Linked DNA regions of Callithrix jacchus. The main gene of each other region encodes a partner of the protein of the gene in region 4 in a complex. Links are inferred from orthologs where the notes say so. Each region holds a gene or a part of one and is shown on either strand. Other genes may lie near its edges.

What was found.
Region 1: STX4 (region 4) and STX18 share a complex: the UniProt entries of both Homo sapiens proteins name them as parts of the SNARE complex. The link is inferred for Callithrix jacchus from reciprocal best matches to the Homo sapiens genes STX4 and STX18.
Region 2: STX4 (region 4) and STX5 share a complex: the UniProt entries of both Homo sapiens proteins name them as parts of the SNARE complex. The link is inferred for Callithrix jacchus from reciprocal best matches to the Homo sapiens genes STX4 and STX5.
Region 3: STX4 (region 4) and BNIP1 share a complex: the UniProt entries of both Homo sapiens proteins name them as parts of the SNARE complex. The link is inferred for Callithrix jacchus from reciprocal best matches to the Homo sapiens genes STX4 and BNIP1.
Region 5: STX4 (region 4) and BET1L share a complex: the UniProt entries of both Homo sapiens proteins name them as parts of the SNARE complex. The link is inferred for Callithrix jacchus from reciprocal best matches to the Homo sapiens genes STX4 and BET1L.
Region 6: STX4 (region 4) and VTI1B share a complex: the UniProt entries of both Homo sapiens proteins name them as parts of the SNARE complex. The link is inferred for Callithrix jacchus from reciprocal best matches to the Homo sapiens genes STX4 and VTI1B.
Region 7: STX4 (region 4) and VAMP7 share a complex: the UniProt entries of both Homo sapiens proteins name them as parts of the SNARE complex. The link is inferred for Callithrix jacchus from reciprocal best matches to the Homo sapiens genes STX4 and VAMP7.

What each region holds. Positions count from the first base shown.
Region 1 is NC_133504.1:184,609,217-184,612,568, forward strand, and holds the end of STX18 (syntaxin-18), read right to left. Parts: intron 2,191-3,352; coding exon 2,110-2,190; intron 1,365-2,109; coding exon 1,269-1,364; 3' UTR 718-1,268; downstream 1-717. UniProt on the Homo sapiens protein: Syntaxin that may be involved in targeting and fusion of Golgi-derived retrograde transport vesicles with the ER.
Region 2 is NC_133511.1:120,111,749-120,116,418, reverse strand, and holds the start of STX5 (syntaxin-5), read left to right. Parts: upstream 1-1,549; 5' UTR 1,550-1,647; intron 1,648-2,328; 5' UTR 2,329-2,347; coding exon 2,348-2,572; intron 2,573-4,089; coding exon 4,090-4,160; intron 4,161-4,323; coding exon 4,324-4,379; intron 4,380-4,499; coding exon 4,500-4,570; intron 4,571-4,670. Other genes in the region: WDR74 (WD repeat-containing protein 74), read left to right, coding at 24-80, 476-655; TEX54 (testis-expressed protein 54), read left to right, coding at 858-1,226. UniProt on the Homo sapiens protein: Mediates endoplasmic reticulum to Golgi transport.
Region 3 is NC_133503.1:65,519,380-65,523,387, reverse strand, and holds part of BNIP1 (vesicle transport protein SEC20), read right to left. Parts: intron 3,719-4,008; coding exon 3,617-3,718; intron 2,500-3,616; coding exon 2,381-2,499; intron 1-2,380. UniProt on the Homo sapiens protein: As part of a SNARE complex may be involved in endoplasmic reticulum membranes fusion and be required for the maintenance of endoplasmic reticulum organization. Also plays a role in apoptosis.
Region 4 is NC_133513.1:30,560,298-30,565,009, reverse strand, and holds the start of STX4 (syntaxin-4), read right to left. Parts: upstream 3,253-4,712; 5' UTR 2,984-3,252; coding exon 2,954-2,983; intron 2,777-2,953; coding exon 2,675-2,776; intron 2,586-2,674; coding exon of another isoform or gene 2,564-2,585; coding exon 2,464-2,563; intron 2,329-2,463; coding exon 2,254-2,328; intron 1,819-2,253; coding exon 1,748-1,818; intron 1-1,747. UniProt on the Homo sapiens protein: Plasma membrane t-SNARE that mediates docking of transport vesicles. Necessary for the translocation of SLC2A4 from intracellular vesicles to the plasma membrane.
Region 5 is NC_133511.1:131,725,652-131,730,432, forward strand, and holds the start of BET1L (BET1-like protein), read left to right. Parts: upstream 1-1,667; 5' UTR 1,668-1,734; coding exon 1,735-1,753; intron 1,754-2,925; coding exon 2,926-3,017; intron 3,018-3,287; coding exon 3,288-3,344; intron 3,345-3,461; coding exon 3,462-3,629; 3' UTR 3,630-4,781. Other genes in the region: RIC8A (chaperone Ric-8A), read right to left, coding at 594-677. UniProt on the Homo sapiens protein: Vesicle SNARE required for targeting and fusion of retrograde transport vesicles with the Golgi complex. Required for the integrity of the Golgi complex.
Region 6 is NC_133509.1:102,657,288-102,661,295, reverse strand, and holds part of VTI1B (vesicle transport through interaction with t-SNAREs homolog 1B), read left to right. Parts: intron 1-278; coding exon 279-337; intron 338-2,418; coding exon 2,419-2,610; intron 2,611-4,008. UniProt on the Homo sapiens protein: V-SNARE that mediates vesicle transport pathways through interactions with t-SNAREs on the target membrane. These interactions are proposed to mediate aspects of the specificity of vesicle trafficking and to promote fusion of the lipid bilayers.
Region 7 is NC_133524.1:151,450,854-151,455,370, reverse strand, and holds the start of VAMP7 (vesicle-associated membrane protein 7), read right to left. Parts: upstream 2,870-4,517; 5' UTR 2,747-2,869; intron 1-2,746. UniProt on the Homo sapiens protein: Involved in the targeting and/or fusion of transport vesicles to their target membrane during transport of proteins from the early endosome to the lysosome. Required for heterotypic fusion of late endosomes with lysosomes and homotypic lysosomal fusion.

The DNA.
Region 1 (3,352 bases), on a different chromosome or scaffold from region 4:
ATAAGATGTATTTTATCATCAAGGTGTCTGGAAACAGACCGCGACCTTACCTTCCTGGCACGGCAGGGTGCATCACAGAGGCACGAGTTGAGAAGGGCATTGTTAAGCTGTGGAAAACGACTGAGCGCAATAAATCCGTGCCAAACTTCCCTGCACATCTGCAGAGACACAAGTGAAGCCCATGTGCGCACAGTGCAGAGGCCGAGCCTGGGTGTGTTTTCCAGTAGACGTGGACTTTACTGACTGTAAATTCATTTCCATGTAACTTCTGACATTTCACTCTGTGCAAATAAAGAACCCGAGGATACTGTGCTGCAGTGGACTGTCTGTATACACGCATTTCACCAGGCGCAGGGCACGCTCTCATGCCCATGTGGGCACTGGGATGCCTTCTTTCCAGATGTGGTCCAGGTGTCTCACGCCTTCCATTACAAACAGGTGCTCCTGTCTATACTTCCTGGAAGGTCAGATACACAGGCACAAGAGAAGCAGGCCCATTCTTCCATGGCCCACTTCCTCCTTTGCACAAAGTCTCCTTGGACCCACTGAGGAGAAAGTGGTGCTCCCACACCCCTGGCTGCTTTGGGGGCAGCAGTCTTTGGAGGAGTCACGCCAGGCAGCCCCTCACGGAGGGCCCCAGAGCCTCCCCTGCATTTCTTCCCTGAAAGGAGGTGGGTGGGCCTCCACGGAAATTTCTCAACTTACACTGACAACACATTGAGGGGCTGTAATTGTATTTATTAGATTAACAAGGCAGATGTGAATTTTCTGCAATCCAGTGAGTCTGTGTATTGGATGACTCAGACAGACAAGAAGCCACAGGAAACAAAGAAGCAATCATTTGTTGGGAGACGTTAGTAACTGTCTTCTTCCCTGAAGCTACCAGGATGGGAAAGGTCATGACTTCCTTTGAACCTTGAGACAACTGGGGGCTCTTGAGGGCTGCTGTGCCCCTGCTACTGGTGCAGCACCCCCTGCCAAGGCAGCCTCAAGTTCAGGAGAATCACCAGCTCCCGCATTCAGTCTGTCTTGCCTTAAAATGGCTACAAGACCCCTTCCCACTGTTGCACATGTTTTTCTTTCTCAGCTGCTAAATGGGCTGAACAACATCAGCCTGGGTATCCCTTTTTGGGGAAGATGTCTGCCTGTCTGAACCCCTCTCCCTTCACATGGCTCTGGGATAAAGTCTGGTCATACCATGCTCTGGCACCGGAGGTACGGTCTGTGGGTGCCCGTGCGGCTCTCATGTTGGGCCCCCGCGGCCCAGGCTAGCTGTCATACCAGTCGAGGAAGAGCAAGGAGAAGGAGCACATCACGAGGAAGAAGAGGATCCACACGCGGAAGCCAGCGTTGTTTTTAATGGCCTGGGCAGGGACAGGAGCACAGGTGTTTTATCACACCGGATTTTGGTTTCAGCAGCCCTGAAATGCCCCACTCTTCCCACGTGCTCTTCCGATCCTGGCTGTAACTATGGGTGTTGCTCGATCTGTGCTTACCCTGAAGAGATGGCTTAATTACTAAGCAAAATTAAAAAGTGGGCCTGTCTTCTCCCAGAAGACAAATGGGTTATATTCCCTTCTCTGTGGCCATCATCTGGGTCCTGCACGATTCTCTCAGCACAACTCTTGGAATCACTCCCTTCTGTCCCGGGGTTAAAAGCCCTGAGCAGAGAGTGACTGTCAGCTTTGTGTTTCCCAGTAATGCGATGTCCTTGGTGACCCAACCCTAAGGATTGAGCTCAGGAAACAGTAGTGTCCCCCTTAGTGGGGGCCAACAAGCCTGTCCACCAGTGTGCATCCCTGTATGTGGGGAGCTGGCCTGACCTTGCCAGGAGTAACCCAACCCACCCTGGATTACTCCTTTGGAGGCTGGTGAGCCATTGCCTCTGGACAGCAGCCGGAGGTGGGCAATGGGTGGTGGGCTGGTGGGTCTCATGAACACACGCAGCTTGGCTGGAACTGATCATGACCTCACGGCCACACAATTTTGTGATCAGCCCTGTGAGCTCTGCCCAGCAAGACTCCTGGGCAGCGGTGCCAGCAAGACGAACACCACTGCTGGGACTCAGTGCTGCACCACCTCGGACCTGGGGACTCAAACGGTGCCTACCTCTCTTATGTCTTCATTGCCCTCCTTGATATTTTCAGTTGCCCCCACAACTAACTGGTGAATGCTATCGATCTCAGCTTCCTGTGGAAGAAAAGGTAAACACAAGCTGAGCATCCTTTATCCAAAACCTGAAATCCAAAGGGCTCCAACCAGCACTTCCTCTGAGTGTCATGTCGGCACTCAAAAAGTTTCAGATTTTGGAGCACTTAGGATTTCACATTTTGGATTTTCAGTTTAGGGATGCTTGACCAATATAGCCACCTCCTCCTCCCCGAAGCGTAAATCATGACAAGAACAGGAGCTGTCACCAAGGGCAAGGGGCTTTGCTTGCATAGCCATGAATCCCACAGCATCCAAGAAGTGGGTATTACCCCTATTTTATGAAAGGGAAACCCATGGCTCAGAGTATTACTAAGTTGCCCAAAGTCACACAGCAACCAAGTGGCAGGACTGAGACTTCCTATTTTTGAGACAGGGCTTAAACAATCCTCCCACTTCAGCCTCCCAAGTAGCCGGGAGTATAGGCATGTGCCACCATGCCTGGCTAAACTTTTAAAAGTTTTGTTGCAATGAGGGTTCTCCCTATGTTGCCCAGGCTGGTCTCAAACTCTTGAGCTCAAGCCATGCTCCCGCCTCAGCCTCCCAAAGTGCTGGGATTACAGGCGTGAGCCACCGCGCAGGACTGAGGCCCCAGCTCGTTGCAGTGCTCCTTCCACCGCACCTGCCAGCCCTCCTGTGCCACTTGCCGACCACGAGGACAAAAACCTAAGAGCTACTGTTTGTGGAGCACCCACCATATGCCAGGGGCTTCCCTTCCAGTCTCTTATTTCTTTCTGAAGTCCACAGAAGTAAGCTTTAAAATGTATGTGCTTCAAAATACATACACTAGCTTCAAAAAGTGCTTTGTGTTTTACTATTATATCTCAAAAAAAAAAAAACAGGCTAAAATTTAAACATCGAAATAGGATGCAGGATGCCTACCGAAAAACATTTACTCCAAATAAAGCCTTGAAAAGCTTGAGAAGCGTGGGATCCTGGTCTAGCACAGGGGCGTCTGGCCCCGCAGGGGCAGAGACGGTTCTAGACGTCCTAACAGGCAGGAGTGCCTGCTGCTCTCCTCCTTTTGGTGGTGGCCAAGCTGCTTCTAACAGGGTCGGGGCTGAATGCACGCTAGTGTGGGCTGTTAGAGAAACCTGATTGACACACGGTAGGGAGGAAGCAGCCTGTGGCCTCGGATTCCCAG
Region 2 (4,670 bases), on a different chromosome or scaffold from region 4:
TTAAGGCCTCTCATCTTCTGCAGGTTTATCTCAAGTCTCAATTGAACTGCCTCCTCCTGTCAGACAGGGACAACTGGGAGGTGAGCAGTTGGGTCAGGAATGTGGGAGCCAAGGGCATAGATGTGAGGACCTCCCTATGGAGAGGAAAAGGAGGCAGCTGGAATGCAGACCTGGGACCCTCTCTTTACCTCTCTGGTCACTTAATTTCTCTGAGAGGCATTAACAGTTAAAATCCTGAGAGGGTTATTGCCAAGAATATGGATGGGGCTGCTTTCTGGGAGTGGGGAATAAAGGTGGTGGTACCCAGAAGTTTTTTACTTCTTTTTGTGGAGGCGGGGTCTCCTTATGTTACCCAGTCTGGTCGCTAAGTCCTGGGCTCAAACAATCCTGCTTTGGCCTCCGAAAGTGCTGAGATTACAGGCGGGAGCCACTGTGCCCGGCCCCCCTGACTGTGAAGCTTCTTCCCACTCACCAGGATGAGCCCCAAGAACCTCAAGAACCCAACAACGTGCCCCTAGAAGACACAGAGACAGATGAACTTTGGGCATCCTTGGAGGCAGCTGCCAAGCGGAAGCTCTCAGATTTGGAGCAGACCCAAGGAGCTCTCCAAACCAGGCGGAGAAAGAAGAAGCGGCCTGGGTCCACCAGCCCCTGACACCCCTCTGTGCCCAGTTTGTAAATAAACAGCTAAACACCCTCCATGACCCTGAGCCTTTTGTGATGGGAGAAAGGAATGAGGGGTAGCTTGAGGTGGGGGCTCCCTGAGCTGGGGTGACGGGATACCTAATGTCACAAAGCCGGGCCTGGAGCCAGGCAGGCTGGTGTGGGTGGCACGGAGTCTGGGGCCGCGCGGGGCCATGGGCTGCTGCCAAGACAAGGACTTTCAGATGTCTGATGAGCAGGAAGAAGAGTCCGAGGACCTCGGGGAAGGTGAGGCCACAGATAAAAGAAGAGGGCCCAGGGAGCGGGAGAGGGGGCTTCCTGAGGGTAGGGCTGAGCTCAGAGGCCTCATCGTCCCCTCAGGCGCCGAAAATATCCACGTGAACGCCCCAGACCACCGGAATCACAAGTCGAACGAAAGCCTTCTGATCACTGTGCTGTGGCGGCGGCTATCCTTGTTCAGTCGTCGGGGCTCCTCGCGGGCAAGCAAGAGGCAATCAGACGTGGTTCGGAAGAAGGAGACTCCGATCCGAGAAGGCAACCAGGAGGAGCCGGAGAAGGGATGACTCCAGACCCGCTCTTAGTCCACCCGTACCTCCAGAGAATAAAATTTCTGACGTGAACCTGCAAGACCGTTCTGGGGACGGGGCGCGGACACCTCCGGGCGGCTGGCTCTTTAAGGCTCCTCCCCGGAGGCGGGCCCAGCCCCCTGGGCTCCGGCTGTTGTCTTCAGGGGCGGGGTCATGGTGGTATCTTAGCCAATGGGATGGTGGGGTTGCTCTTGCGTTTGGTGAGGGGCGTGTCTCTCGGATAGCCGGGCTCGAAAACGTGTGGGACCGCCCCGTCGTCACCGGGGGTGGGGCTACGTGTGGGTGACGTGGCCGCTTCCAGTCTTTGGTCGGGTTTCGGCGGCTTCGGTTCCCAGGGAGGAGGCGGTGACGGCCGGGGAGATTGGCAGTGGTGGCGGCGGCAGGCGGCAGAGGGGAGGTAAGATTCGCTTTCAGAGGGTGTCTGGACACCGTGTCAGCTCCGGGGTAGTGGTTTTACGGGGGCGACGACTGGCGGGGGGAAGGGAACCAGGGGCGAGCGGGCAAGTCCTGCCGGCCCGGCTCCCGGTGAGCGAATTCCTTGCCGTCCAATTAGGAAAGCCTCTGTTGAGAGAGACGTCGGCCTTAGCTAATGAGTGATTGAAGTCTTCCAGAAGGCGGACCTTGGGCGGGGGGTGGGACTTCCTGTTTCAAATAAACACCCAGAGGTTTGCCCCTCCGCCCACCGAAGTGTGTCCCTCTCTGGAGGTCCGTCACCCGCTCTCCCTGGCCGAAGGAAACCGCAGATACAAAAGGGCTGGGTAGGGGCAGTTACACAGGCCAGGCCAGAGTCTCAGGACCACAGGACTTGGCTCGGGCCCTCTCCCTGCTTCAGGGTCCTCGGCCCGCGTTTTGGCCGTCAGAGCCAAGTTGAAAGAAGAGTCTGAAGAGGGTTCGACTTGGGCCAGGGGAAAATCGGGGCCCTTTCCGCTGCGGGCCTGCTCCAGGATCTGCGAGCGCCTTGGGCGCGAAAGTCTTTAAAAAGTGCAGAAGGGGCTCGAGGATTTGTTGATTGGGACGGGGCTGGGGAGTTTGGGTAAAGAAGCTGCCTGGGGAAATGACACTCTCCCCTCCACAACAGTCCGAGGTTATGCGTCTCAATGATCCCGCGGAAACGCTACGGGTCTAAGAACACGGATCAGGGTGTCTACCTGGGTCTCTCAAAGACACAGGTCCTGTCCCCTGCAACTGCTGGCAGTAGCAGCAACGACATCGCCCCTCTGCCCCCCCCAGTGGCCCTCGTCCCTCCCCCTCCCGACACCATGTCCTGCCGGGATCGGACCCAGGAGTTTCTGTCTGCCTGCAAGTCGCTGCAGAGCCGTCAGGTAAGGACCTGCAGTGGAAAAGGTGAGGAGTGACTCTTACTCAAATCTAGGAAGGACTGTGCTCCAGCACTGTTAACTGAAGTAATTCTTGGGGAAACCTGATGGAACTGATAGGCTTGGATGGGGCTAGTAAGGTCTGCTATAAGTAACAGAGAAGAGGTCGGCTGGCTAATTAGAGGCAAGGACTTAGACATTTTTTAATGAGGAATCCCCTGGAGTGCAGGATTGCTATTCTGGAGAGAGTACTTCAGGGCCAGACTTGGCTGCAATATAATTGGTGTGAATAAGGAACAAGTTGTAGGAAGAGCCTTTAGCTGAGAGACATCCACCTTGAATTTTCCAGTATACTTCTGCCATAAGTTTGCTCTGTGACCATGAGAAAATTAGTTAATCTAGTTATGTCTTTCTTAGTTTTTAATCTCTGTAAGACGAAGGACATTTTTCTATATCAGTAATTTGTTGTTTTGTTTCTGTTTTGTTTTGAGATCTAATTTCAGCTCTATCAACAGGCTGGAGTGTAGTGGTGTGATCATAGCTCACTGCAGATTTGAACTCCTGTACTCAAAGGATCCTCTTACCTCTCGGCCTCCTGAGCAGCTGGGGCTACATGGATGTACCACACAGCTAATTTTTTTATTTTTTTGATATAGCCAGTGTCTCACGATGTTGCCCAGGTTGGTCTGGGCACCACACCTGGCCTAGATCAGTAATTTGTATCAAAATCAATGGGTTGGTTACGGTGGCTCATACCTGTAATTCCAGCACTTTGGGAGGCCTAGGCTAGGCCAGAGGATTGCTTGAGGCTAGGAGTTAGAGACCAGCCTGGGCAATATAGCAAGACCCTGTCTCTACAAAAAGTTAAAAATTAGCTAGGTGTGGTGGTGTATCCTGTAGTCCCAGCTACTTGGGAGGCTGAGCGGGAGGATCGCTTGAGGCAAGGATGTCACGGCCACAGTGAGCTATGATCATATATTCCAGCCTGGGAGACAGAGTGAGACCCTGTCTCAAAAACAGAACAGTTAAAAAAAAGTTTTTTTTTAACTATTCATCTGTTGGTAAAGCTGCTCTTCTATGTGATCTCCAAGGGCTTTGCAGTCATCCTCACTGACTTCCCGATTTGAGGAATAGAATGGCAATACAAGCTACCATTTATTTAGTGCTTACAATGTACCAGGTAGTTGATGAAAGTACTTTTCAGCTTTTTTGTTATTTAATCTTAGCAACAAGAAGCGGAGAGGTGTGGATTGTCTTCATTTTACAGAAGGGGAAATAAGAGATTCAGAATGTTTTAAGTAACTCGTTCCCAAAACCCCTAGCTAGTAAGTAGCGAGTCAAGATTTGAACTCCGGTTTACTTGTCTTCAAATCTGGAGTCTAAACCACTACCACTGATAAATCTAGATCATTGGATGGATGCCACCAGTACTAGAGATAGTTTAGTGGACACCTGAGGAAGAGTGAAAACTGGAACTGGGGAAGGGGGATCTAAAGTTGTCACCTCCTGCCATTGCTTTTCAGAATGGAATCCAGACAAATAAGCCAGCTTTGCGTGCTGTCCGACAGCGCAGTGAATTCACCCTCATGGCCAAGTGAGTTGAGAGAAGCTTTCTGGTGGGGTGATACAATGTCTGAAGAAAAGTAGGCTTGCCTTCAGTGGCCTTGGCTGTGAAGTCTGGGATTGGTTGTGCTGGAGCTTATATGGGAAAAGGCCTTCTCCTGCCCTTTCCCAGTCTCACTAGTGGTCGTTTGCAGGCGCATTGGGAAAGACCTTAGCAACACATTTGCCAAGCTGGAGAAGCTGACAATCTGTGAGTGTTCTTGGGGTCTTTCAGAAGTGGGGCAGTAGTACATCACAGAGGGCTGAGGACTACATTCCCTGAGCTTTGTCTTTCACCTTGCCCATTGCGGCTTCTTGTTTGTCTCTGTAGTGGCAAAGCGCAAGTCCCTCTTTGATGATAAAGCGGTGGAAATTGAAGAGCTTACATATATCATCAAACAGGTGAGCTACTAGCCATCAGAAGAGCCCAGCAATCTAATCAGATCACTTCTATGGTTCTGTCATTCTCCATTGCCATGGGGACCCAGGGCAAGTTTCTTTT
Region 3 (4,008 bases), on a different chromosome or scaffold from region 4:
TAGACATGCGGGGCTCTTGTGTATATAAAACATGACAAATGCAAATGGATATGTCAGTGAGTGTCAAATCCACACAACGTTTCTTTTTTTGGAACAGAGTCTCACTCTGTCACCCAGGGTGGAGTGCAGTGGTGTGATCTTGGCTCATTGCAATCTCCACCTCCTGGGTTCAAACGATTCTCCTGCCTCAGCCTCCTGAGTAAGGATTACAGGCACGTGCCATCATGCCTGGCTAATTTTTTTTTTTTTTTTTTTTTTTTTGTATTTTTAGTACAGACAGGGTTTCACCATGTTGGCCAGGCTGGTCTCAAACTCCTGACCTCAAGTGAGCCACCCACCTTGGCCTCCCAAAGTGCTGGGATTACAGGCGTGAGCCACCTTGCCTGGCCAAAATCCACACAATGTTTCAAAGACTTAATATGGAAAAAAAGGAAGGTAAAATATCTCAATAATTTTTAATATTAGTTGTACATTGAAACTGTAATAGTTTACATAATGAGCTAAATAAACTATCTTATTAAAATTAATGTTTTATGTTTCTTTTTACTTTTTAAAATGTGCCTACTAGAAAATTTAAAGTTAACATATGTGGCTCCTGTTATGTTTCTACTGGCAGTGCTGGGCTAGAGTTTTTTATCCTTCTCTATGTTGTATGTGTTACCTTTTAACAAATTAAAAGCTAATAAGTAAATAAGATAAATTATCAGAGGAAACACAGCAGCATTTTGAAAATGACAGATAAAAGGAGAAAAGCAAACACTCACAGAACGGGAATCCCTCTCCACTCTTTCTCCACGCCTGCCTGCTGCCATTTCAAAACCCTAAGAACTTGCTAAGTAAAAACCTAACAGGTCTTTCTTTATAAACTTTACCATTATGGAGAATTTTGAACCATCACAAAGCAGACAGCATAGTATCATGAAATGTCATATGTCTACCACCCATAACCAAGAACCACCAACCTCTGAAATCCTGTTCCCCCTTACCCCATCTCCCCTACTCCTACAACTGTGCAGCAAATTCCAGATACCATATTCCTAATAAGATTTTTGTTTCACAATTATGGTCCTAGTAGGCTTTTAAATCAAGCTGAATTTATGAGGGATAAGGAGGGGGTTGAGAACTGTATTCTTCCCTTTTTTTCAATAGCTATTACTTCTATAAAATGGGCCCCAAGAACACTGGGACCCTCTCAACACCCCAGAAACCACCAGCATTTGTGTCTCCTTCCCACTGTTAGTGAGGGGGTATCCTCTCACCACACCAGAGCATAAATGCCCTGGACTCAGAGGCTGAGTTGTCTCTTTGCTCCCTCTCTCTCCAACGCCTCTCCCACAGGACACGCTGAGAGAAGGCCCCTGGCTGGTTCTAAGCTGAAATGTTCAGGTAAGTTGTAAACACAAAGAGTGACCATGGGATCACCTGCTTGCTTTCCTTTTGCTTCTGCCTGTTTGCTGCACTGAAAAAAAGTGGTTCAAAATTAAAGATAATTTCTAGAGGTGATAATGGTATTGTGGTTCTGGGGTTGTTTCTGCTTTTTCCCCAGAGCCCCTCATCCTCTACAGAGATGTACTGAGATATTTATGGACAATGTCTGGAATTTGCTTCAAAATAATTCAGATAGGAGATGGGCTGAGGGTAGAATTGAAACGAGTCTGGCTGGGGTAATGGGCTCAGGGCTCAGATGATTCAGGATACCATGCTTTCTACTTTTGTCCATGTGTGCAATGTTCCAAAAGCATTTCAAAGAGTAAACCCTCTTTTTCTGTTGTCTCATACTGAAGGACCCTGGAGAGGGCTGATACTCTTCTGTGTCACAGAGGAGCCACTCTGGGAAAACTACTGGAGGGAACCAGATGGTCTCAAGCAATCTCTCCTGCAGCCTTTGACTCTCATCTTTTAAAAAGAACTCATAGGAAAAATAACATTGGGGAGTATAATTGTAAACTAAGGTCCTAGCAGTCTTACCATCAGCCAATTCACTAAACATCCCGTGGAGCAACGATTCCCAAATTTGCCTGGCCATATGGGTACCCAGAGCCCTGGCTGTAAATGAGACTCCCAGGCCCCTCACCCACCTCTGCCAACACCTTCTCTAGGAAAGGGCCTGGGGACCTCTGCTTTACACTTGAGACCCTGGGAATGCCCGCCCTGGGGAAACACTGATGGGGGTGTGGGGTCTCCTAGTAAAGGGAAATAAGAGCAGCATATCCCCACTATGGATAAGACCAAGGTGTCAAGTCATCTCACGAGGAAGAAGCCCCCCAAGTCAGTGAACTTCGTGTGGGCCGTGGTGGAGGAGCCCAGGGTGGAGATGCCAGGGCTAGGGCGCTAGAGCAGTGTCTCTGGGAGACGCTTCCTACTCTGGGCCCAGCTTTACCTAGAGACTGCATGGCCTCCTCGCTCTGCTGGACCTGCTGGGCCATCATCCTGCTGATCCCCATGAGGCTCTCAGTGATGGCACTGGATGTCTGGGCCAGGCTCTCTTTGGTAGTTTTCCTGAAAGTTCAGAGGAAGAGAAAGAGGAAGAATGTCAACAAAAGTCTCCCTGCAAGAAGGCCCCATATCCAAATGATATCTCACTTTTTGCCTACCCAATCAGCATATATATTTTAAGTGATCACATTCAATGCTGGCAAGGATATGCTGAGACCCACACTCCTATGGACTGCTAGTAGAAACAGAAACCGGTGCTACCTTCTGTAAAGCAATTTGACAATGTAGGAGCCTTAGAAATGTTCATTCCTTTGACTCAATCATCTCATCCCTGAACATCCCTCTAATGGAAACATCCAAAATGCAGATGAAGCCTTATGTTCTAAGACATGCTCTGCTGTATTACTTACAACACCAAAACACTAGGAATGCAAACACACATAGGGGATAGTATTAGCATACAATCTACATACTATGTACTGTTAGAATTAGGCTTTAAAAGTTTTCTTTTTTTTTAAATGAGCAAGTTTTGTGCTGAAACAGCAGGATATAAAATTATATGTATGGTACAATTGTGACTTAAGAAATGTAGAAGAAAAAAATGAGAGAAGAGAATATACCAAAATGCTCATGAGTAATAAGATTCCATATTTTCAGCCAGGTACTGGGGCTCATGCCTATAATCCCAGCACTCTGGGAGGCCAAGGCGGGAGGATTACCTGAAGTCAGGAGTTCAAGACCAGCCTGGCCAACATGGTGAAACCCCATCTCTAATAAAACTACAAAAAATTAGCCGGGTGCAGTGGCACAACCCTATAATCCCAGCTATTAGGGAGGCTGAGGCAGGAGAATCACTTGAACCTAGGAGGTGGAGGTTAGGTTGCAGTGAGCCAAGATGAGCCACTACACTCCACTACACTACACTACTGGGCTACAGAGAGAGACTGTCTCGAGGAAAAAAAAAAAAAAAGATTCGATATTTGCATTTTGTAATTTATACTTTATTTTATCAATTTACTACAAATAAGTATGCATTTCTTTCAAACTTTAAAAAATTACTTATATAATAAAATTAAACACCAAGCTGAAAACAAGAAGGGATTCCCTACAATGGATTTTACACCTTGCCAATTGTTACCTATTTTATTATGAGAGCCCAGAAAAACAAAAGAACAGGTACCTTTGCCTTAAAAGATCTCCTCCCTGAAGAAGTTCTGCTTTCTCTAGATTGTCGATTGCAATTTTGCAGGTAAGATTAGCTTTCCTCCATGAAGTCTGATTGCTGGAATGAAAAGGTTCACGTGTGAGTGTGTCTACTCCACCAGGCCATAAGTCAGTTCAATTCACAGCAGTTCCCACCAACAAAGGAGTGTGGGGAAAGGCCACCCAGGCAGGCATGGCCTTCAGAGCCCATCCTACTTCCTGCCATTTCCTCCTCCTGGTCCCCCAGCAACTGTTCTTGTTCAGGTCCTGGTAACCCTCAACCTGGAGGCCACCACAGGGAGGCTCTATAGCTGTCCCTGGAGGCCACCACAGGGAGGCTCTATAGCTATCCCGCTGCCCCTGTCATCC
Region 4 (4,712 bases):
AGACTCCCAGCTCAGGCCTTTGTCTTTGCTTCTCCTTCTGCCTAGAATGCTCATTCTCCACAAACACCTTTAAATCTTTTGTTCAAATGTTACCTTCTGAATGAAGTTCTTCCACCTGATTTAAATTGCATCTGTACTCTTCTCCAGCATACTCAGTCCCTCTTCCTCTGCTCTTTTTTCCATAATGCTTATTATGTCTAAATAATTCACTTATGTATTATGGTGATTGTTTCTCTACACCAGAATGGAAGTTCCATGATGAAAGGGATCATTGGTTCACTGCTGTATCCTAAACAGTTCCAAAAGGGTCTGGCACTTGCTGAATGCCAACCTTGCTGCTTATACCACAACTGTGCTCATAAGCCTAGAGATGAACATGCCGCCCAGGCAAAACAGGTGCAACAAGCCCACATGGGCCCTTGACCTCTCATGCCAATCAGCACCACAGGTTACCCCAGAAGCACTGGCTATAGGTCATCTGCTCTGCCTTGCCCCTTCTCCTGAGGCCTTAAATATGTTCGTTCCTTGGAGTTTCGTTTCCAGAGATACATCTACTCTCCTGGATCCGGCTGCACCCTTCCAAGATGCCCAAGTTGCTCCATCTTCAATCTGGGGTCCTCACTTCCAACCCTGGGCCTAACTTCCAACCCTGACCTCCTAGAATCCTAAAGTACTTTTCACTGGGGACCCAGAGAGGGCCAGTCACATCACCCCAAAGGCCAGGTACAGTGGCTCACACCTGTAATCGTAGCATTTTGGGAAGCCACAGCAGGTAGGTCACTTGAGGTCAGGAGTTCAAGACAAGCCTGGCCAACATGGTGAAACGTCATTTCTACCAAAAATATAAAAAAATTAGCCAGGTGTGGTAGTGCACACCTGCAATCCCAGCTACTTGGGAGGCTAAGGCAGGAGAACAGCTTGAATCCAGATGGTAGACGTTGCAGTGAGCCGAGATCCTGCCACTGTACTCCAGCCTGGGTGACAGAGCAAGACTCCATCTCAAAAAAATAATAATTAAAAATATAAGATATCACACCAGGGAAGTTCCTCTTCAGTGTCGCCCCAGGGAAGTTCCTCTTCCTGCCTTCTTGAATTCTGCCTGTGGGACTAAGGACTCCCTGTCACATAGGCAGGAAAGCTGCCAGTCATTTATGACTTCTCTCTTTCCCTGGGCAGCACCATTATCACCAAGTCCTACGTGAGTAATGTCTTTGTCCTTATTGAACCTGAACTCCTCATCTTGACTCCTAGAAAATATGTGTCCCAGCCAGGCATGGTGGCTCACACCTATAATTCCAGCACTTTAGAGGCTGAGACAGGAGTGTCCCCTGAGGTCAGGAGTTCAAGACCAGCCTGGTCAACATGGTGAAACCCCATCTCTACTAAAAACACAAAAATTAGCCAGGCATGGTGATGTCTGCCTGTAATCCCAGCTATTCAGGAGGCTGAGGCAAAAAAAGTAAAAGAAACATGTGTCCCTACAGCCAAACCTAGGTCTTGTCTGGGGTCATAGCAACTTCTTATTGAATGAAAGAAAATAAAGCAGGGTATTATAATCGGACTAAGCATCAGGAGACCTGGTTTCCTGACTTTGAGCAAGTTCTTTCTCTGAGTTCAGTTTCCCCATTTGGAAAATCATTCCGCTGGACTCCACCATCTCTGCAGGCCCTTCCTTCATACATCTGTCATCCAGTACTTCATGAAACATTTGCTGAAATGTCCTCATTTCTGAGAAAAAAAAACCCACCTGGGTTTTTCTTATTCTTGTGTTGACGGAGTTATAGTTCTCATCAGCTTCCTCCTTCTGGGGCTCTATGGCTGTGGGAAGACACATGGAGTACTGGGGGTACTTGTTTCCATGGATTTTTAGGGAAATATAATTTATCATAAAATGACTAAGGCTGAGCCTCCAAGAGGAGAAAGTACGTTTATTTTTCTTTGCATTACATCACTGAGTTCCCATAGGTATGCAGAGGCCACCTAACAAAACCCCATCCTCTTGCCCAAAGAATGCCCAGTGGGCTGCAATAACTGTGTAAGTAAATGGTTACATTGTAAATAAAAGAACCTGAGAGGCCGGCTTGTCCTGTGGAGAGTACAATGGCCTGGAGGCCAGGAGACAGAGATGCTAGACCCAGGCCTGCTGTGTGACCTGGTTATATCATCGGCTTCTCTGGGCCACACACTCCCCAGATACACCAACAACAGGGCAGGATCAAAGGGAAGGATCTGTCTGAGGTCCCAGGAGCTCACCCTTCAGCTGCAGGCGGATCTCCCTCCCCAGCTGTTTGATCTCATCGCGCAGGTTCTGCAAGTCCTGCTTCATGCCTGAATAAGAGAAGACCACGACTCCGAACAGCAGCTCCCACCTCAACAAACCACCCTGGCAATCACCTATGTGGGACTACAACCCCCACAATCCCTAAGGTGGTGCATGCGCCCTGCAGTCGGAGTTTCACTCACTCTCCTCGGGAAGGGGCGTGGCCAAGATGGTGACCTGCTGTTTCTCCAACTCCTGGACTTTATTCCCCAGTTTGACAATAGTCTGCCGAATTGCCCGGACCTGGGGAGGGTGACCGAGAGGGCTGAAAGAGATATGGGGTACTCCAGACCACGCTGGTCCTCGGGTCTTCCTACCCCCTCGCGAATCCAGGCAGAGACCCCAGCCCCTTACCTTCTGGAAGAACTCCTCGTCCGGGCTCCCCAGCCGTGCCATGCCCGGGTGCACCACCAGCGCGACCCGCTCCTTGTCCTCTTCGTCCGAGCTGTCATCCCCCTGCGAGGCCCGGAGTCATTGGTACCACTGTTTCGCTGCGGCTCTCACCCCGCACGACCCACAGGCTTCCGGGACTTTCCTTCCTGGCCATCAGCCATCCCTCCCCGCCCTGAAGATCAGGAGTCCTGCGTTCCAGTTCGTCCGCCCCTCAACATCTCCACTGCCCCCATGTCTCACCTGCCTCAGCTCGTGGGTCCTGTCCCGCATGGCGGCCTGAGCTCTCCCTCCTCGGCGCCTGAGCCAGGAGGCCCTCAAGTTTGGAATTCCCGTACCCCACTCACACTCTGACACTCCCCTCCCTCCCGGTGCGGACCTCAACACCCCCACAAGCCGCCAGACGCTCTGTCCCTTGCACCACCCACAGTCAATGGGAAGGAGCCGACCCCGGGGACCACTAAGGTTCCACAGGTTGGAATTCCCTTTTCTTCCCCTCTCTTGCTCTCTCAGCCTCAGCCCCGCCCCTCCGTGATAAATTCGGGGCATGCGCACAAGGTCGCGTCTCTTCCTCGCCGGAGGGGGAAGGCGGAGTCGGAAGTTGTTGCGCCCCGAGCGGAAACGGAGCTGCCTGGACGCGAGAACCCGCCCCCCTCACCGGAACCGTTGCAACTTCCAACGGAAATCTGGTTGCCAAAAGGCGTAGGAGTACGTCATTTGTACGTAAGCCGAGACACCCGCATCTCATATCACCCCATGATGCCCCCACTGCATCACGTGACCAGCCCGTTCCCAAACTCGCGGACCGCAGAACGTGACGCTGTGACTGTCACGTGTCCCGGCTCTGTCACCGCGGTCTCTGGGACGCCGTTCTCATCACGAAGTCCCCGGCACCCCAGCGACCGAACGACGCCCACACAGCCCCCGCGAGGTGGGGAGGGGCGCGCCGACCACCCCCAGAGGCCTTTTGAGGCAGTGGGTGGGTGTACCCTTGATGACTTCGCCTTTATTGCTTTCGGGTCCAGGAACGTGGGCAGACCACTTAGCATTTGGGGCTGTCAGCATCATGGGACCTCGAAAATCGGGAAATAATATCCGAGCCGTCAGCGTCAGAAAATTGCAGGGTTGTGTGAGCAGGGAATCTGGGGGTGGGAGGTGACCTCACCCAAGGCAGAAATCTCCCGCATCCTCCTGGCGCAGCCTCTGGTAGGTGGGCGGCCGGCGCCCTCCTTGAACATGGCAGCCCGGCTGCACTCACCACCTCTGAGCAGTCAGACCATGTCAGGGCAGCTCAGGCTAAGAAAAGTGTCTGTATTGTTGAGCACGCTGCCTCCCTACCACTCACACCCCCCAGCCCCTACCTTACATCTGAGATCAGGTCATGACTTCGTTCTTAACTGAATCTGGGGAGTTCCTAGCTCACTACCAAGCACATAATGGGCCCTCTGTAAATAACTGTGCACAAAATTTTAGCCTTTCATGTATCTCAGGATAAAGCCCCCAGTTTCCTGGTCTTCTTTGGGTTTCAGACTTTCTGACTGTAACACTTCCCTAACCCTGGCTATCTAGATATTCACTCGTTTTTTATTTTTAAAAATTTTCATGAGGTGAGGTCTCATTATGTTGCCCAAGCTGGTCTCGAACTCTCGGGCTCAAGCAATCCTGCCTCAGCCTCCCAAAGTGCTGGGATTACAGGCAACATTAATTCGCTTAATGGATATTTATTGGGCACATACTATGGACCAAACACTGTTCTAGACTTGGAGACATATCAGGGACTAATAGACAAAAATTCCTGCACTCGTCAAACTTACATTCTCTAGGAGGAGTCCCCAAGGTCACTCAGCAAGTCTCAGCATAGCCAGGAATGAATAATGGACTCCTGGAACCCAGGGCTCTCCAGGAAGCTTCTGTGAAGGTACAAGTAGGGGAAGGAATGGACCCTTTCTGCTATGACCTGGTCAGGAAGCCTAGATTCCTGGGACTGAGTTGCTATGGACTT
Region 5 (4,781 bases), on a different chromosome or scaffold from region 4:
CGGCCTCCGGATACAGCCCCTGCCTCGCTCTCCCACCCGTCCCTGCCACGCGTGCCCGCCCCTCGGCCTCCGGATACAGCCCCTGCCTCGCTCTCCTACCCGTCCCTGCCACGCGTGCCCCCCCCCCCCGGCCTCCGGATACAGCCCCTGCCTCGCTCTCCTACCCGTCCCTGCCACGCGTGCCCCCCCCCCCCGGCCTCCGGATACAGCCCCTGCCTCGCTCTCCTACCCGTCCCTGCCACGCGTGCCCCCCCCCCCGGCCTCCGGATACAGCCCCTGCCTCGCTCTCCCACCCGTCCCTGCCACGCGTGCCCGACCCCGGCCTCCGGATACAGCCCCTGCCTCGCTCTCCTACCCGTCCCTGCCACGCGTGCCCCCCCCCCCCGGCCTCCGGATACAGCCCCTGCCTCGCTCTCCTACCCGTCCCTGCCACGCGTGCCCCCCCCCCCGGCCTCCGGATACAGCCCCTGCCTCGCTCTCCCACCCGTCCCTGCCACGCGTGCCCGACCCCGGCCTCCGGATACAGCCCCTGCCTCGCTCTCCTACCCGTCCCTGCCACGCGTGCCCGACTCCGGCCTCCGGCGGCGGCTCACCTCCTGGTTGTACGACCGCAGAGCTTCCATAATCACATCCTCCTTCCCCGTCTCCACGGCTGCTGCAACCGCCCGGGGCTCCATGGCGCCCCCGGGACCCGCCCCAGCCGTTCCGGGCCGCAATTCGCCGGCCCCGCCCTGGCCCAGAGAGCTCCGCGCCAGCGCGCATGGGAGGCCGGGACGGGGTGCGGCGTCGGGCGGCGCCTTCAGGGGGCGCGGCCTGGAGCCGAAGCGGCGGTTCGAAGGTTTCCAGACCCGAGTCGCCCTCGACCGAACTGACCCCTCTCCTTGTGACCCGCGCTTCTTGGGCAGGAATTTCCAACGGGAAAGGATCTCAGCCCCCACCTCGCCCTGCCACACACACAGCGCCGCCCCTGGATCTCCACAGAACGGATGGGGTGTGGAGGGGGAGCCGAAGTGGGGGACTTTTCAGTCCTGGGCCATCGGGTTCGTTAGGCGTTTGCTGGGGAACGCAGGCGAACGGGACTCCTAGGTCCATGCTTTCGCGGAGCTTTTGTTCCCGAGGGGAAGGCACACAAGCAAACACCAAAGGACACGAGGCTGTGCTTCAAAACGGGCAGCGAGGAAACGCTGCTTTTGCTGACACCGGACGACAGGAAGTGGCCGGGAACAGGGCTCCTGCTCGGGGGGGCCTGCTCCCTCCTCATGACGCGCCTGTGAATCCTTCCCCGCCGTTAGGACCTAACCCACGGAAGCGTCTATCCCACACCGTAGTCCTGGCACCGAGCCAACAGCCCCGCCCCGCCCTACGCTCACAGGAACAACAAACGTCACATCCGCGGTGGCGCACACCAGTAATCCCAGCACCTTGGGAGGCCGAGGCGGGAGGGCTGCTTGGCCCGGCAGGCGGAGGGTGCAGTGAGCCGAGATCGCGTCACTGCACGCCAGCCTGGGACGGTGCGGAAAATGAAAGGCACATCCGTGCCGCGCTCCTGCGACCGGCGGTTCCCAACTCGTAGCCCTCAGCCGGAAGTCAGCGAGTTCAAGGCGGAAGGGGCAGGGGCATATAGGGGCGTGGTCGCTGCGGAGGCGGGGCCGGAAGTCCTGCCCCTTGACTGCGCCACGTCCGAGGCGGCGGTTGCCGCGTCGGTGTCGGCGTTGAAGAGCCGGGGAAGGCACCATGGCGGACTGGGCTAGGGGTGAGCGCCAGAGAGCGGAGTCGTTGGGGGCGGGGCCGGGCCCGGCCGGAGCCGACGCTGTTACCTGCAGAGCCGCGTACGCCTGCCTCTAAACTGTCCTCGGCGGAGAGGACCCTGTCACGGGGGCAGATTCGGATCCTTCCGGGTCCGAGGGGGCGGCCTAGCCGCTCCAGCGAGGGGTCGCGCAGCTGCGGGGTCCCCCAACTCTCCGCCATTCCCTGTGAGATCGTTCTGCGTGGGTTCGGGGTGCGGGAGCCTCCGCATTCGGCAGGTCCCGGGGCCAGGCCCTAGGAGTACAGGCCACGCGTGCACCGTTGGTGTCCAAGCAGGCGTCTGCTAACTTGGGCCTCGATGGCCCCAGTCCCCCTCCCGGAGCCCGTGTTCTTGTCTGCAAAGTGGGATATTGATGTTTGCCTGTCTGTGTTGCACCCGTTGCTTACATTGAAGCTAGGCAGCAGGTGGTTCTCACCTACCTGATGTGACAGAAATTCCTTATCACCTGGCCCAGCCTATCACATCACAGGCCAGGCCGCTGCAAGCACTATGCTCTGGGTGTTGCGGGAAGCCCTCTGTGGGATGCAGACCAAGGATCCCTCTCTTGGTCGACCTCAGCTCCCATGGTGGGGAATTGGGAGCTTGGCTCAGACCTTTTTTTGTGCGGTAAAGCGCCTTCTCAACATTCTGTCCTGGTTCCTTGCCACCTCTTCAGGAGCCAGCTCTGAAGTCGCCCCTGTAGGAGCCTTCCTACTGCTCTGCTGGGTACTTTCCCCAAGCCTTTCCTACACTTTTACACAGATGGGACCTCCATGGATGCAAGTGTCACATCTTACCAGCATCCCAGGGCTGGGTGCAGTTTCTGCTACACAGTGTGGGAAACTGCTGGTTGCACCGAGCCTGTTGTGGGTGCTTGCCCATCCCCACCTGGATGTGTACACAGGGCGTGTGTTCACATGACATGCGCTTACTTACACACATCGTTCTTTATGCAGCCTGCCTCACATGTGCAAGATCCACCTGCTGGAACCTGGTTAGGGCCTTGTGTCTGCCACCTGCCCAGCAGACACAGGGCCCAGTCCCCCTGGATTTCCAACTCACCCAGATGTGGTTGGAGCGACGGGTCAGGGGCCGTGCTCACCGGTGGATGCAACCCCTCAGCCTCTCTCTCTTCTCAGGTCAGAGTCCTGGTGCTGTGGAAGAGATACTAGACCGGGAGAACAAGCGAATGACCGACAGCCTGGCCTCCAAAGTCACCAGGCTCAAATCGGTCAGTGGTGGTCTCCTGTCCTCTTACCTCTACCATGTGCCCTTGGGGGGTGGGGGTCAGAGGAAAGGCAGACGGCCCAGAGGAGTTTCAGGCAGTTTTCTATCCTCATGTGCTTTGTGGCTGTGCTCACCTGCATGAGGCCCCACCTGGACCTCTCTGCTGCTGCAGCACTCTGGCAGAGTTGTTGGCAGGGCTTGTCTGGTCTGGGGAGGGTGAGTGCTGCATTATGTGTCTGCTCTGGCCCAACCCTGCCCTCTCTGTGCTGAACAGCTTGCCCTGGACATCGACAGGGACGCAGAGGATCAGAACCGGTACCTGGATGGCATGGTAAGGGCCTGCCCCAACACTACCTGCTGTAGAGCCTGCAGTGTCTCCTTCAGCACTGGTGCGGGTGGGTGGTGAAATCACCACTTCTGTGTGATCTTGCTGGGATTCCCCCTTTAGGACTCGGATTTCACAAGCATGACCGGCCTGCTTACAGGGAGTGTGAAGCGCTTTTCCGCAATGGCAAGGTCTGGACGGGACAACCGGAAGCTTCTGTGTGGCATGGCCATGGGTCTGATTGTGGTCTTCTTCATCCTCTCCTACTTCTTGTCGAGGGCAAGGACGTGAACCAGTGGGAGCTGGTGTCTCTGGGTGCCTGGCGTCTTGGGCTCCAGAGAACTTACCTACAAAATACTCCTTTGAAATTACAATTGTGGGTTTGGAATCTTCTTCCTGTGGGGCAGGAGGCTGTGGCAGCCTGTGACCTGATGAGCTCATGTTGGCTGTGGAAGGGACTCTCTTTTGGGGAAACCAAGGGCCAGCCCCTCCCTCCTCCCCCAGGTGCTAGAGACACCAGCAGAGTTGGGGCCACAGCATGTCTGGAGGAGCCAGGTCCAAGCGCAGCAGCTGTTGAATCCCAGACGTAGCCACTTGAGGCCTGCAGCCTTTCTCCCAGCTCTTGGGACGCTGACATCTTAAGGCCCTATGGCTGTGTCCTTGTCTGGGTGAGGCCATGTCTGTGATCCAAGGTGCCTGGAGCTGACACAGGAAGGGACTGTGAACCCTGAGTGAGTGCCATCTCCTCCGACTGAGGCCTCTCAGCCTGGAGATGACGGTTCCTTCTGGCCACGGTTGCTAGGCATGGGCAGACCAGCGTGGGCTACTCTGCTGTGAGTTTTCTCTGCCTGCTCTCCAGTCCTGCGGATGAAGTGAGACCCTTGGGGAGAACTGGGGTGTGGATGGAGTGAACTGCAGCCTTGGCCTAGTGGCTGCGCCTGGATCCTTCTGGGTCATGTGACTGTATCCAGGAGCAGAAACTTGCGTTCTCAGGAGTCAGGATCAGCCCAGCACCAAAGACGTGTTTTCGGGAGAGCAGACCTAGAAGTGGGCCTGTTTGGCATTTCAGAGTCAGGCAAACCTGTGGATCTACACAGGAAGGTTCCTGTGAGGACTCCAGTTGCCGCCTAGCTTGCTGGTAACTTTTGCCCCTCTGCCAAGCCCTGCCAGGCTCCCTTGACTGTGATGGTGCTCCGTGCTGTCCTCTTGTCTCTAGCCTCTGCAGGATGCCCACCCTACCCACCTCTCCCTGGGCTGGGCTGATGTTCAAACCACTGGACTGGCAGGGAAATGACTTCTTCCCACCTCAAGATGAGGTCCCAGCCCCCTTGTCTTGGCATAAAAACACCTTTGAAGTATGAGTCGTGTGCTTCTGTGCCCTTCTTTGTCCTGTTCCAATCTTGTTCCTTCCAGTCACTCCCTGGAGACTATGGGCTCACTGTC
Region 6 (4,008 bases), on a different chromosome or scaffold from region 4:
TTTTGTATTTTTAGCAGAGATGAGGTTTCACCATGTTGGCCAGGCTGGTCTCGAACTCCTGACCTCAAGTGATCCACCTGCCTCGGCCTCCCAAAGTGCTGGGATGACAGATGTAAGCCACCAAGCCCGGCCTGTGTCATTTTTAAATGCCTGTTTAAGATGACTGAGTACTACTCTCACTAGGGGAGGAATAAGAAGCTTATTCTAAGCAGAGGGAATGGCCTTTACAAATGTGTGGAAATAGTAATAAGCATTTGAAACTTATCTGCATTTTCTAGAAGAGAAGAAGAAGTTGATCAGGGATTTTGATGAAAAACAACAGGAAGCAAATGAAACGGTGAGAGTGAAAAAATTTTGTTTCTTCTACGTGGTCTTCCTCTTTTCCAGAAGTAATGCTATGAACTGATCACAGATTAACTTCCTGTCTGTTGATCTTGATTTTGACTGTTTTTTACTAAATGAAGCCAACTGATGGGGATGGGTATTAAGGAGGTTTGACAAACACAAATGGGTAAAACCTGAAGACTCTCCTGAAATATGAGTCTTTGATAATATATTGCTGATGTGAGTAGTAAGGGCATTCTCATACCCTTACCCAAGCAGTCTCTTAAAATCTCTTTTTAAGAGCTGGCCATTAAGATAGGTTACTGGCCAGTGTGGTGGCTCACACCTATAATACCAACACTTTGAGATGCCAGGGCAGGAGGATCACTTGAGGCCAGAAGTTCAAGACCAGCTTGGGCAACATAGGGAGACCCCCATCTCTTCCAAAAAAAAAAAATTACACAGGATTGGTGGTGCATGCCTCTGGACCCAGCTACTCAGGAGGCTGAGGTGGGAGGATCACTTTAGCCTGAAAGGTCATGATCACACCACTGCACTCCAGTGTGGGTGACAGAGCAAGACCCTGCTTCAAAAAAAAGAAAAAAACTGTTCTTTGTTAAACTTACTGACACAGAAAATGTAGCTCAGAGGTGATTCTAACCATGTCCCTTTCTGTCTTAAAAGACAGCATTGTAGCTGGACTTGGTACCTCAGGCAAGACATGCATGAGCTTCAGGTGGGACCTAAAGTTTGTCAGAAGTTGCTTCTCTTCACTTGTGGCTTTTCTTTAAAAAAAAAAGTTTGTTTTTCCTCCAGCTCTATGGAAGCAAGAGTCCTTTGACTCCATTTCATTATACTCTAGCAAACCCATTAAGACTGGGGCCAAAATCCTGGTCCCTGCTAGAACCCTGCAGAAATAGTTGCCCCTGCTTTTGCCATCCCAGAGCAGATGGAGAAAAAAATTCTGTTTTAGCCAGCGAACTGCCTTCTTGCCTGTTGAAGATCAACTTCTCAATTTCCCAGTTATCCCAGTGAAAAAGAAGCACATCTGCATCCTTTTCTCTGTTTTGCATGTGCTTTATGAAGGACCAGGCTACCAGACTGTGGAAACTATCTTCTTCCTAATGGGAGTACTAGGAATTTTTCTTAATACCTGTGTACAGCTGGGCATGTCCATGATACCTGTTTGTAGCCATTCTCCTGTTTTGATTAACATATTGGTAGCCTTTTAAAAATCTAGCTACTACTGATTTGTTTGGTGCTCAGATACTTGTTTTCTTCGAACTCAACAAAATAATCCTACCTTGACCATTCCAGGCAGATGAAAATAATTTAGGGCTGCTTGTGAACATCCCCAGGTGTTACATTTTACTTATCCTAGAAGAATGGAAGTCTGATTCCTCTAAAGCACCTGCTCTGAGGTGGGCCCCTGGTTGTCTCTGACATGGAGACAAACATGATTGATTTTCAGAAAGAGGAGCAGGAAAAGTTTTTAGTACAGTAGACTTCAAAGCACTTCTTGATGGCAGTGTTCAACCGTATATTGAAGAGAGCCAAGAATTTGAAGATTTTGAATCCTGACTCCTTTTTAATTTTATTTTTATAGAGATGAGGTCTTGCTGTGTTGCCCAGGCTATGCTCAAATGATCCTTCTGCCTAGGCCTCCCAAAGGGCTGAGATTAGAAGCAGGAGCCACTATGCCTGGTCCAGACTCCTCCTTTTTGTGTAATCTTTAGCAGGTTTCTGTAAATCATATATGAAATGGAACATTTGCTACCTTATTGATTTGTTATGAGGATTAAATGGAGGATATATAGAAACATGTTTAGTAAGCTCTAAAATACTTTTGTCTCTCCATTCATTCATTCAGTTCATATATTTTGAATGCTTGCTCTGTGCTTGCTGGGCACTGTGCTAGGCATTTGGATTGAGAAGAACATCCCAGAAATGGTCCTGCCTTATGTAGCATATGGTTGAATTATTTACTTGGTGTAGTCCAAATAAATAAGTAGTTTGATTAATCCAAACTAGGCATATTTCCAAATGAGTGAGGGAAGAACCAGGCCATCTACTCACTACTTTCTGCCTTCCCAGCTGGCAGAGATGGAGGAGGAGCTACGTTATGCACCCCTCTCTTTCCGTAACCCCATGATGTCTAAGCTTCGAAACTACCGGAAGGACCTTGCCAAAATCCATCGGGAGGTGAGAAGCACACCTTTGACAGCCACGCCTGGAGGCCGAGGAGATATGAAGTATGGCATATATGCTGTAGAAAATGAGCATATGGTAAGTTTTAGCTTCCTTTTTTTTCCTTAAGGGCCTGTGGTACAAAAATTAACCATATCGTTGGATTATTTCATGTTTTCAGTGTATACTAGAAAATATTTTTTTCACCCTTATCCTCTTTTCTGCATCCAGCTCCTGTTATTCCCTTGGTATATGCTCTATTTAATGTAGCCCTTTCTAATCATATGCATATTTAGATTTCCTTTTATCCTTAATATAATACAGTCTTATAATAAAAATAGTGCTTTGTATATAGTAGTATATAAGTGTTACTTATTTTTTCTGGATTCTGACCCATTGATCTAATTTCTTCTTGATCTTTTTTATTCTTTCATATAAATTTTAGAATCACTTTCTCAAGTATGCCTGGAAAATTCCATTAGGTTTCTAATTTATCAGAGTATTGTTTCAAAATCAATCCAAGCTTTCCTTTACCTTAATGTCAAGATGGCCCAGCAACTGAGATACTGTAGCCAATGCAGGGTGCTTCTCGTGGAGCTTTTTATCATTTTATTCTGTGGTAATGGAAAGTGAGCCAGACTGCTCTCTAGTTTTCAGGATTCTAATTTATAAGATTGGACTAATTGAACATCTGTATTCTGAAACCATCTAAGAAGCTAGTCGTTAAAGAAATTAAACGTCTGAAAGGTTAAATGTGCTGCATTTGGTCTATCTTCCATAAACACAACACAAAGTAAGACTTGCCTGGCAAGTAACACAGAAGAGAGATGGAAAGGGGCCCACCAGTGCAGTCTGAACAGAGGTAGAAAGGCTCATACTACAGTTTTAAACAACTCCTGTTTCATGATGCATCCTGATTATAGTTTAAGAGACATTGAAAATGATATTGGCTTGACATTGCTGATGCAAAACTAGACATTTTGAGGCTGATGTTTTTAAAATTTTCGCACAGATGTACGAGGGATCGTCACAGATTAGAAGCTGACAGATCACTTGAAAAGGGAGGCTGGAAAAGGGCAGGCGGGTGGAGTGTGGTTCTACTGGTTTTATTTGAACCTCATTTAGTGGTTTCCTCATCTACTGGTCTATATGCTATTTATCAAGTGAAAATGCTACAGAGCACCTGACATGGTGGCTCATGCCTGTGCCTGTAATCCCAGCACTTTGGGAGGCTGAGGCTGGCAGATCACCTGAGATCAGGAGTTCGAGACCAGCCTGGCCAACATGGGGAAACTCTGTCTCTACTAAAAATACAAAATTAGCCAGGTGTGTTGGCGGGTGCCTGTAATCCCAGCCACTCGGGAGGCTGAGGCAGAGGCTGCAGTGAGCTGAGATCACGCCACTGCACTCCAGTGAGACTTTGTCTCAAGAAAAAAGAAAATGCTACTTCTTGCTACTTCTGGTCTGAGAGCCAATCTTTTGGCTTCTTGATGATCC
Region 7 (4,517 bases), on a different chromosome or scaffold from region 4:
TTTTTTAGTAGAGACGGGGTTTCACCATGTTGACCAGGATGGTCTCGATCTCTTGACCTCGTGATCCACCCACCTCGGCCTCCCAAAGTGCTGGGATTACAGGCGTGAGCCACCGTGCCCGGCCTCCATTCTTGTATCATGAGCAGACCATTAAATTAACTGGCCCACTAAAGTAAGGCGGTAGACAAGGTGCTCGGGAAGAGATGGGAGATCATTTTAGGAGGAACGGATGAAACAAGAGAAGGCATAGAGGTGAGAACAAGGTAAAGAAGGTACATAAACTAGCCTGATGAGATGGAATGGTCCACCTTTGGTGAATGACAAGATTGAGGAATACAGCTGATGGCCTTACATAGAGAAGGTCTTGTATAAATCATGTCATTTAAATTTGATCAGATATGGAGTTTTTCTATTTCAGTTCAACACATATGTACTGAGGGCTTGCTATATGCTAGTCAAAGTAGACACTGGAGGTATAAAGTTGATGAAGAAGGGACTCCTATACTTGAGGGAGCCATGGTACAATGAGGAAGACAGATATAAATAAATGTGATAAAGTGTAATAAGTGAATAATCTAAGACTGTCCACAACCACTCAGGAAATTTCTTAATGCTTTGTGATGATCTCACCTTGGGTGAATAACAGGAATGTAGGTATCAGCTTATGCCTTAGGAATTTCCTCACTATACTGTTAGGATTATTTCTCCGTGGAAGAGAGGCCAAAGTGTCTATTTTACCCTACTTTCCCAGTGCTCAGCACGGTGCCTAGCAGTTAACCTTCCCTCAAGTATTTTTTTTCTTTTCTGAGACGGAGTTTTGCTCTTATCCAGGCTGGAGTGCAATGGTGCGATCTCGGCTCACCGCAACCTCCGCTTCCTGGGTTCAGGCAATTCTCCTGCCTCAGCCTCCCGAGTAGCTGGGATTACACCCAGCTAATTTTTTGTATTTTTAGTAGAGACGGGGTTTCACCATGTTGACCAGGATGGTCTCGATCTCTTGACCTTGTGATCCACCCGCCTCGGCCTCCCAAAGTGCTGGGATTACAGGGTTGAGCCACCGCGCATGCCCTCAAGTATTTGTTGAATAAGTAAGTGAACATTGAGCATACTTTGGTTTTAAATACACTATAAATGATAGATAACTTTATATTCAGAAAGACCTAGTAAGAATAATATTTTCACAACCAAATCACCTTTTGAAGTAAGATAAAGCAGTTGAGCTAACAGTAATCCAATCCCCAACTCTTCCATCTGGGAGTTAGAAAGAATAAAGTAACTACAGATAAACCAAGAATTCGGATGCAATAAGCTTGGAGGAGATAGAAAAAATGAAGAATAAACACTGCTTAGAAAGGGGAAAAGGAGAGGTGTTTATGAAGTCAGGTTATAGATCAAGATTATTCCTGTTAGTATTACAACTATTCTTTCTGGATGATGCTCTGAGACCCAATCCAATCTCTCTGACTTTCTTAGGATAGGATCCCACCCTTTCAAGTCAACCACCTGTTTTATTTCACATTAGGCAATATATAACATAATCCTATTTCTGTTTTCCCCTCTAGACACAAACATGTAAGTTCCTGAGTGTAGCAACCTAAGTCTTGTTTACAGCTGTATCCCCTGCACTTAAAAAGAGAGTCGGCCAGGCGTGGTGGCTCATGCCTGTAAAATCCCAGCACTTTGGGAGGCCGAGGCGGGTGGATCACGAGGTCAAGAGATCGAGACCATCCTGGTCAACATGGTGAAACCCCGTCTCTACTAAAAATACAAAAAATTAGCTGGGCATGGTGGCGTGTGCCTGTAATCCCAGCTACTCAGGAGGCTGAGGCAGGAGAATTTCCTGAACCCAGGAGGTGGAGGTTGCGGTGAGCCGAGATCACGCCATTGCACTCCAGCCTGGGTAACAAGAGCGAAACTCCGTCTCAAAAAAAAAAAAAAAAGAGTGTCAAGCACAGATCAGCCACTCAATAAATATTTGTTAAACATACGAATGGATCTGCTCTCAGCCACAAGTATTCAAAGGTAATTAATATCCCTAACATGGCTGTATCTCTGGGATCAAGGGAGGGAGAATGGAGATACAGGTAGTTGAAAGCAATAAATGAGGCCGAATGAAGACAGCTGATTGTGAGAGTTATGGGAGTGGGAGATGTAAAGCGTTTACCAAAGACGCTAGCACGTGGTCAGAATTTGATAAACATTGGCGGTTAATAAAAACACCAAACAGGTCTGAAGATGAGGAAACAGGTCTAGGCGGAGATACAGTTCCTAGCCAAACAGAGGAAGAAGTGGACTGTCAATAATGAGCAGTGGAGGAAGGGTGAATAAGGGGCCAGGAACCCACGAAGGAGCATAAACAGCCAGAAGTAGGTGAAGCGGAAAGTGACGTCATCGAATAAGGACGCAGAGAGTTTTTAGAAGACTCGGTCGATCTCAAGCGATTTAAATGGTACAGAAAAGTCTTGTAGAATGCAAACTGAGAGAAAATTAACATTTTTTCCCTCCTGTAATGACAGCTTAAGTGACGCATTCTGACACTCTTTTTAACTCGAGGCCTTTCCAGCGGCAAAAGACGCACCTCGCCGAAACCGGACCTGCCCGACAACCGGTACTGTGTACACCAGAGAAGCCCAAGTCACCCTTACACTGCCTACCCGCTCCACCCCAGCACCTTTCCGTCGACACCTTCCCTCTCCCTCCGCAGTTGTGTTTCCGCCTCCCACAGAGCGCGCCCCACTCCATTTACCTGTCCGGGCACCTTCTGAGGGCGCGCGGGCTCGGGACCTAGGGGCGCGGGTCAGCGCAGGGTCGCCAACTGCCCGCTCCCAGAGGAGGCTGGGACCCGACGCCGCTAACTTCCGCGTGAAGCGCCCCGCCTACGCGTGGCCTCTTGGGAATGGGAGCGCTCCTCCAATGGCAGCAGGCAACAGGGCTAGGCCTGCTAAGTTCCCAGCCCCGCCCCCCCCGCACTTCCCAGGAGCCGTAGTGCATTCCGGGAGTAGTAGTTCCGACTGGCCACGTTCCGGGGACAGCTCTGGCCGTAAACAACGTCAAACGCCGTATAGGGATCCACGCAAATGAGAGAATGCAGGCTAAAGATTCTACCTGTAATCCCAGCACTTTGGGAGGCCGAGGCGGGTGGATCACGAGGTCAAGAGATCGAGACCATCCTGGTCAACATGGTGAAACCCCGTCTGTACTAAAAATACAAAAAATTAGCTGGGCACGGTGGCTCGTGCCGGTAATCCCAGCTACTCAGAAGGCTGAGGCAGGAGAATTGCCTGAACCCAAGAGGCGGTGGTTGCGGTGATCCGAGATCGCGCCATTGCACTCTAGCCTGGGTAACAAGAGAGAAACTCCGTCTTAAAAAAGAAAGAAAGAAAGAAAGAAAAGATTCTACCAGCAGTGAGTAGGCGGCATAAATGAAGAGCCACGCTTGCCCCGTCTCTCCTGCTTAGTTTCAGTAGGCAACATTGCCTGTTTCTTCACCGACAAAATAGAATTCAGCTGACAGGAAGTGCCTCTATTTTTGCCATGAAATGTTCTTATTTTCTTGTACCCCTCACCAATCCTTTCTCCCATTCTTTAGCAATAATAATGATAACTACTACTCTCCTTTGATCTAAACCCATCCCTCTTCCATCCCTATTCCCTGTTGCCGAATCAGAGTCAAGCTCTTCTTTTATTTTTGAGACGGAGTTTCGCTCTTGTTACCCAGGCTGGAGTGCAATGGCGCGATCTCGGCTCACCGCAACCCTTCTGGGTTCAGGCAATTCTCCTGCGTCAGCCTCCCGAGTAGCTGGGAATACAGGCGCCTGTCACCACGCCCAGCTAATTCTTTATATTTTTAGTACAGACGGGGTTTCACCATATTGGCCAGGCTGGTCTCCTGGTCTCCTGGTCTCCAACTTCTGACCTCATGATCAGTCCACCTCAGCCTCCCAAAGTGCTGGGATAACACGCATGAACCACTGCGCCTGGCCCTTATTTCCTCCTTTTTGAACTCCTTTATTCTCTTAGCTCTATGCAAGATGCTATACACTCCCGCTTCTCCTCTTACCTCTGTGGCAGCTCTTCATTTTCTTTTGAAATGTTCACATTCCATAGGGTTCTATCCTACGCCATCTTCTCTTCTTATTCTTCACACTCTTCCTGGTGATCTTAATCATTCCCCTTGCTTTATCTTCCCTCTGCAAAGATTCACATTTCACATTATTAAAATTATATTGCATTCAGTATCTATTCTTTAAGAGGCAGCATATTATATTAGAAAAAGAATAAGTTTTAGAGTCAGACAGATCTGAGTTACTAAGCTGTGTGAACTCTAAGTGTTGGCTCTCTTTAGACCTTTCAGGACTCTAGCAAATCCCCTTACTCCTTATTCTCTCCTAAAGTAATCTCATCTGTACCCTAAACTTTATAATATAATTAGCTGTCCATGTAAGACGTGCCTGATTCCCCTTTGCCTTCCACCATGATTGTAAGTTCCCTGAGATCTCCCTGTCAGAGGTATGTGA